Linked DNA regions of Mus musculus. The protein of the gene in region 2 purifies or fractionates together with the protein of the main gene of each other region. This does not show direct contact. Links are inferred from orthologs where the notes say so. Each region holds a gene or a part of one and is shown on either strand. Other genes may lie near its edges.

Evidence for each region. Proteins that work in one complex are often made in the same cells at the same time.
Region 1: the proteins of Adrb2 (region 2) and Usp33 purify together in Homo sapiens (affinity purification with western blotting; 3 studies listed by BioGRID and IntAct, with this or other methods). This does not show direct contact. The link is inferred for Mus musculus from reciprocal best matches to the Homo sapiens genes ADRB2 and USP33.

The regions. Positions count from the first base shown.
Region 1 is NC_000069.6:152,377,389-152,381,040, reverse strand, and holds part of Usp33 (ubiquitin carboxyl-terminal hydrolase 33), read right to left. Parts: intron 2,198-3,652; coding exon 2,152-2,197; intron 1,606-2,151; coding exon 1,425-1,605; intron 528-1,424; coding exon 401-527; intron 1-400. UniProt on the Homo sapiens protein: Deubiquitinating enzyme involved in various processes such as centrosome duplication, cellular migration and beta-2 adrenergic receptor/ADRB2 recycling.
Region 2 is NC_000084.6:62,177,700-62,181,451, forward strand, and holds Adrb2 (beta-2 adrenergic receptor), read right to left. Parts: upstream 2,283-3,752; 5' UTR 2,054-2,282; coding exon 797-2,053; 3' UTR 14-796; downstream 1-13. Other genes in the region: Gm9949 (uncharacterized protein LOC225609), read left to right, coding at 2,346-2,904. UniProt on the Homo sapiens protein: Beta-adrenergic receptors mediate the catecholamine-induced activation of adenylate cyclase through the action of G proteins. The beta-2-adrenergic receptor binds epinephrine with an approximately 30-fold greater affinity than it does norepinephrine.

The DNA of each region.
Region 1 (3,652 bases), on a different chromosome or scaffold from region 2:
GGAGGAACTGGGTTAGATTCCCAGAACCTACATGGTGCCTCACAACTATCCATAACTCCAGTTCCAGGAGATCTGATGCCCTCTTCTGACCTCCTCTGACACCAAGCACACATGTGGTGCACACACATACATACATGTAAAATACCCATACATATAAAATAAATAAAAATTTAAAAATAAGTACTTAAAAACAAACAAAAACAATGTAAAACACACTATGTCCCTTTGCTTCTCTATGAAGTCCTATTTTCTGAACAAAGTACCATTCTGTAAACAGCTTCTCTCTCTTACTCATGAGCGTGCACAGCACTTCTAATCTTCACCCATAAGCCCCGAAAGTCTCAGAAGCACAAATCCTTAAGAAGACAGTCTTCCCACGGTCATGACAGTTCCCCGTCACCTGTAGAAAAGGACGTAGGCCTCGGCATTCTGTACAGTGGACTCTGAAACTTCAGTGACGCTCTGGTCATCAAACTCATACCACAGGTTATTTAAATTGTTTCGGCAGTAGGCAATGTAGTGCCCACCTGTAAGGCAGGAAAAAGCGTGTTACGGTGCTACGTGTCAGACCGCAGAGCAGCTGAAACACGTCACAGCAGTTGTCTGTGCTCTGATTATTTCAGTCTGCACTCTCAGCACTACCACTGTAAGACAGGAAGCACAAGTTTAATCATTTCTTTTTGTCTTGAGAAAAGATCTCACTATTGTAGCCCAGGTTGGTCTTGAACTGACAATCCTCCCACCTCAGCTTCCCAAGAGTGTTCCGCCGCACACACCTGAGGTCATGCAGCTCTGAAAAGCCTTGTACAAAACAAAACTCGCCATGTTATGGTTTTTACCATTTGTCCTTCTAACTTTAATTTCAATTATTCCAAATAGTCTACGGAAAAATATTTACTGTCTTAAAATTTAACATCTGAAATGCTTCCTCTAACACTTAATAATTGTACAATTTATGGGTTAGAAGATTGTAATTCCATACACACACACAAATAATTCATGCAACGTTATAAAATATCTTAAACTCGGGGAGATTTTTATCTCACAGTCTCGTTTTTATTTCACAGTCTCTGCTACCCAGGCTCCTTGAACTTGGCAGGCATTCAGGTTTGCCAATAAGATTAAGTTAGATTGCTAATCTGTATTACAGGTACCTGTTTCAACTAGCTGGCATTTTTGGGGTCTGGAATTCCTAATCCTCCTGCCTCAGGCCCCTGAGTACCGGAACAATAGGTGCGTGCCCCCACACACAGGTATTCTCCTAACTGTGTGTTATTACTTTGTGTTGTCTGCTGTTTTTCTAATAATAAGCACTGAAACCTGTTTTTAAATTTTTCTCCCTTTGGTCAAGTGGGGCTTATTTAAGCAATCAACTTGGATACATGTTTTTTAATCACAAACAAATATCAAGCCATTGTACTCACTACTTGCAGTCCCATGGTGACAGATGACTGACAGGAGATCATATGTCACAATCTGAGCTGGGCTGTCCTTTGCAAGAAATGGCTGAAGATCGAGGCCTTCCAGGGGGAAGGAAACATGGGTGCTAATTTTGGTGGAAAACATCAGTTCATGTCGAAATCTTTTAAGGTGGATACACAAAATCTAAAAGAAGTACAATTCAACATCCAAATTACTCACTAGAAGAGATTGTAGTGGTTGAAACAAAGTACACTCAAGTTTTATTGTAAAAACAAGAAAATGTGGCATTCTCATATAAAATTACATTCATTTAAATGTTTATTTTAAAATAGTTATTTCAATTGGGGGGACTGGGGGCTTTCCCCCCCCCCCATTTTAAAGAGACTAAGTCTTACTATATAGACCTGGCTGGCCTGGAATGCACAGAAATTTGCATAGCCACCATGCCTGGCCCATTTTATATTCTCAATTAGAGTTTATGAATTAGTTAAATCATAAATATCCCCCTGAATTCTGACCTGATTCCAGACACATCTGTCATGTGGCAGAGTGAGCATGGCTCTTCCAAAGCTCAATGCCACCGGCTGTCTAGCTGTAAACTTCAGACTTGCAGAGCCCTGCGCTGTCTGGTGAAATGCTCAGCACACTGTTAGATGGTGTTATATATTCAACCCAACCTCCCACAGTGAGTCCTAAACAGCTTATAAACGAGTAACAATGAAGTCATACCTCAGGAAACTTCTGTACTTTACAAAACTTTACTCCATTCCTCAACCTAAGGATAAAAAAGAAAAGCTAAAAAAATCTACAAAACACTTATTATATTTAAATGGATCACAAAAATATCTTTCAGAAAATGTCAAGAAAGAATCAGAATAACAATATTCCTGAGTTATATTATATATTTATACACTAAATAATCAAACAATAAAATAGCTCTTAGTATAAAAAATTAACGTATACCAACATATCACTAATTAAAAGTTAAGTCACTACACAATACTTTGATTAAAAAAGAATTAGGGACTAGCTATGTGGTGCCTTAGCTCCCACCCAGCACTGCGCAGATCAAGCATGGCAGCACACACCTATACTCAGTACTCAGCAGGTGAAAGCAGGAAACTGTGAAGACCAAGGTCACCCTCAGCTCCATTCCAAGCTCAAGGCCAGCCTGAGCTACGGAGGTCCTGCTTTTTAAAAATGAGCATCAGTGAGCAGTGGTGGCGCACGCCTTTGATCCCCACACTCAGGAGAGAAGAGGCAGGGGCAGGTGGATCTCTAGGAGTTTGAGTCTAGCCTGGTCTACAAAGTGAGTTTCAGAACAGCCAGGGCTACACAGAGAAACCCTGTCTCGAAAAACCAAAAACAAACAAACAAAAAATCAGCATGAGGTAAGGTGCCACTGTCTACAATATGTCTACAATATGTTTATAATATGCAGATATTAAGTAAAACTCATAGTGTAGAATCCAAATCTTCTTCAAGATCTGTAACTCAAGTTCATATATTCTTATTATTCTTTTTATTTTGCCTTGAAGACAATAACGTCTTGTTATAAAACCCAGGCTAGGCTCAAATGTATAGTCCTCCCACCTCAGTACTGATAATATCAGCATATACCACTTACCACTACACGTGGGTTTAAAACCATTATTTTATTTGCATGCTTGTTTGTTTGTTTATAATTTTGTTTCTGTTTCTGAGACAGGGTCACTCTACATAGCCCTGGCCTTCCTGGAACTCACTGTGTAGACCAGGCTGGCCTCGAACTGGCAGCGAGACACTTGCCTCCTGTTGCTAAGAGCCAGGATTAAAGGTGTGGGCCACGCCTGGGCCATGACATAGTATATAAGCATCACACCCAGCCTGAAAACCTTCACTCTTAATATTAGGAAAATGTGGGGGGCCAAAGAGTGATTATTTCAAGTAATCAATATTGGGACTGAAGAGATGGCTCAGAGGTTAAGAGTACTGACTGATCTTCCAGAAGACCCTGGTTCAATTCCCAGCATGCACATGGCAGCTCACAACTGTCTGTTACTCCAGATCCAGGGAACTGATACCCTCACACAGACAGACATGCAGGCAAACACCAATGCACATAAAACACTTTGTTCAAAAGAAGCCATTAAATCATCAATATCAACGTGCACTTGACAGATGTGTACTTGGCATCTGGGGTGAGCACCCGCTGTCTGCTTTCTGTCTGTTTTCCTCTGCCTGAAATGTC
Region 2 (3,752 bases):
ACTCTTACACATTAAGCCACTCATCGGTCACGACACATAGTTTACCTGTGGTTTCCAGTGGGAGAGACAAGGACACTCCAGAGTCAAGAGGTTTTGAAGAAACGGGTGCAATGAAGTCATGGTTAAACAATTTATTTACTGTAAACTTTAGACTTTTCTCAGCAAAAAAAAAAAAAAAACCCAAAAAAACAAAAACAAAAACAAAACCCCAAAAAACAACAACAAACCAAAAACGAACCAAACAAACAAAAAAACAAAAACAAAAACAAAAACAAAACAACTGATGTTGTCCCTCAAATCCCTGCCTGCAACACTCCATTTGAGTAAATAAGTGGAGTGAGAGAGAAAGGGCCCATTGTCACAGCAGAAAGGTCCAAGACACAGGATATTTCAAGTCCAAGGGTACAGGAAGAAAACTCTCTCCTTTAGATATGGATTTCCAGCAGCAATATATATCATTCTTAATACTTGACCAGTGAGGTAGATACATGAAAACATCATCCAGACAGACAGACAGACAGACTCAGTCCTCCAGAACCAACACTCTTCAGACAGAAACCTTTAAGTTCCATACAAAGAGGAACTGAACTATACAAGAAAACAATAAGCACTCAAATACAGTTTCTCTCTCTTGTTTGCAGCTTAAAAAATAAAATAAAATTTAAAAAAAGGCAGAAGGATGTGCCTCCCCTTCTGCAAATCTCTATACAATTTTATTCTAAAGTTATTACACTCAAGTTAAATAGTCTGGTTAGTGTCCTGTCAAGGAGGGGTCTTAGAGAGTAGAAAGCCTGTATTACAGTGGCGAGTCATTTGTACTACAGTTCCTTCCTTGGGAGTCAACGCTAAGGCTAGGCACAGTACCTTGACAGTTCACAAAGCCTTCCATGCCTGGGGGATCCTCACACAGCAGTTCCTGTTCTCTCTCCTGCCCCAGCTGACAAGTGTTTGGCTCCCCTGTGTAGTCCGTTCTGCCGTTGCTATTGCTAGAGTAGCCGTTCCCATAGGTTTTCGAAGAAGACCTGCGAAGGCACAGAAGCTCTTGAAAGGCAATCCTGAAATCTGGACTCCGACAGTAGATAAGAGGATTGAAGGCAGAGTTGACGTAGCCCAACCAGTTAAGGAGGATGTAAACTTCCTTAGGGATGAGGTTGTCCCTGATAACGTGCACGATATTGACAATGAAGAAGGGCAGCCAGCAGAGGGTGAATGTGCCCATGATGATGCCTAAAGTCTTGAGGGCTTTGTGCTCTTTCAAGCAGAACTTGGAGGACCTTCGGAGTCCGTGGCCGCTCCGCCCATCCTGCTCCACCTGGCTGAGGTTTTGGGCGTGGAATCTTCCTTCAGATTTGTCTATCTTCTGCAGCTGCCTTTTGGCCACCTGGAAGACCCGGGAATAGACAAAGACCATCACCACCAGGGGCACGTAGAAAGACACAATCGAGGACGCGATGGCGTAGGCCTGGTTCGTGAAGAAGTCACAGCAAGTCTCCTCGGTGTAACAATCGATAGCTTTCTTGTGGGTGGCACGGTACCAGTGCATCTGGATAGGCAAAAAGGAGGTAAGGCCAGATACAATCCATACCATCAGGATGACCACTCGGGCCTTATTCTTGGTCAGCAGGCTCTGGTACTTGAAGGGCGATGTGATAGCAACATAGCGATCCACTGCAATCACGCACAGGGTCTCGATGCTGGCTGTGACGCACAACACATCAATGGAAGTCCAGAACTCGCACCAGAAGTTGCCAAAATTCCACATTTTCATAAGGATGTGACTGGCCCCAAACGGCACCACCGCTAGGCCCATGACTAGATCAGCACACGCCAAGGAGATTATGAAGTAGTTGGTGACGGTTTGTAGTCGCTCGAACTTGGCAATGGCTGTGATGACCAGCACGTTGCCAAACACGATGGCCAGGACGATAACCGACATGAGGATGGCCATGCCCACAACCCACGCTTCGTCCCGTTCCTGAGTGACGTCGTGGTCTGGCGCTCGGCTTCCGTTGGGTGCCAGCAAGAAGTCGCTGTCGTTCCCGTGTGGCCCCATGGCTGGCAGGTTAGCAGGTGAGCGCACCGGCTTTCGGTGCCCAGGCGCTCTCAGCGGGTGCACCTCCGACGGGGCGCAGCCGGCCGGGGGCGGACTCCTGGAAGCTTCATTCAGCGGCCGTAGGTGGCTGTGCTGGGGTGCGTCCTGCACACTCAGCTCGTGGGTGCTCCGGGCTCGCGGTGCCTGCAGCCGCAGCCTGAATGCCTGAGAAGCAGCCTTGCAGTGCGCCCTGCCCGTTATGTGCACCAGACTTTAGGGGAATTGCCCAGTGACGTGCAACAACTTTGGGCCAATGGCACGGCCGGATGCCCGGAGGGGCGAGGCACCAAGGGCCAACCCTCCCAGCCTAGCCCGCCTCCTCCTGGGGTTAGCCCGGGCGGGGCCCAGCGGCTCCCCGGAGGCCAGGCCACCGCTCCCTTCCAGCTACCCTAGCTGGGGCACCAGAGAGAGAAATCTAGGGCTGCTGTGCAACCCGCCAACCAGGCGCTGTCTGGAGGTGCTACCTGTCCGTTCAGGTCACCTGTGCGGGCTGAGAGGTCTCTGGACGCCAGTAGCGCAGGGTGCGTTTTCTTTTAGGAACAGAAAGAGCAAGCTCACCCGGACACGCACACACAGGCACAAACGCACCCTGACGACCAGGACATGCTCAGACTTATGCCGAACCACAGCCACAGCCACGGAGACACACCCGCGCCCGCTCATTCTGGAGATGACAGCTGTCTCCTGGTCCAACAGAGAGGTGGCTGTAAACAAACCCAGGAACACCCAGAAGCAGGAGGAAAGAAACACACATAAGCGCTCCTGTGGAGACATGGAGTGCGGACCACTCAGACACCGGTGTCCACATCCAGGTACCACCCGCTTCTAGCACTCATAAGTGACACCCCATTCACAGACATCCAGTGTATCCCCTTTCAGTTATTTGGCAAGAGCACAGGAGATGACTCCAACAGCTACAGAGTTTCTCAGCACACTTTGTGAAAAAATATTTTTTTGGCATCCTCCCTCCTTGAGAACCGCACCAAGGCAGTAACTTCATCCTTCGCATTTCTTTAGACCTAGAAGTATACACATTTGGGTAGGGTTGGGAAGGTGTAATTCTTAATTCTTGGGAGTGTGGCATCATTTTCTTGTTATATGGCGGATATCTGGGGATGTGCTGAAAATAAAAATGCAAGTGCAACCATTTTCAGTTTTACAATTTAAAAAATTAAACTACATTATTTATGTTCTGTGCATGGGAGTCTTATCTCTACATTTGTCTGTGCACCACATTTGTGCCTGTTTTGGAGGTCAGGACAAAGCATCAGATTCCCTAGGACTGAATATACAGATAGTATCAGCTCACAAGCTGCCTTTGTGAGTGCTGGGAATTGAACCCTGGTTCTCTGGAAGACTAGCCAAAGCTCTTAAGCACTGAGCCGTCTTTCCAGTCTTCATAATTTTCTTTTCAAACAATTTCTTTAGTAACTCTGTTTTAACTATAAAAATATTAATTGTATTAATTGTATGTGTTGGCTGGGTAATTTGCTAATCTTTTAGGCTGTGTCAGTGAATGTGCCACCATTGGGCTATTTCTGCCTTTAACCTCGCTGCCCACCCCACAATTTCATATAATTCCCTATATTAAAAACATGTTTTGTGGAGTTCATTTTAAAACTACAGAAAAAAAAGGATAGTTGAGGATAGTTGTTCCTTC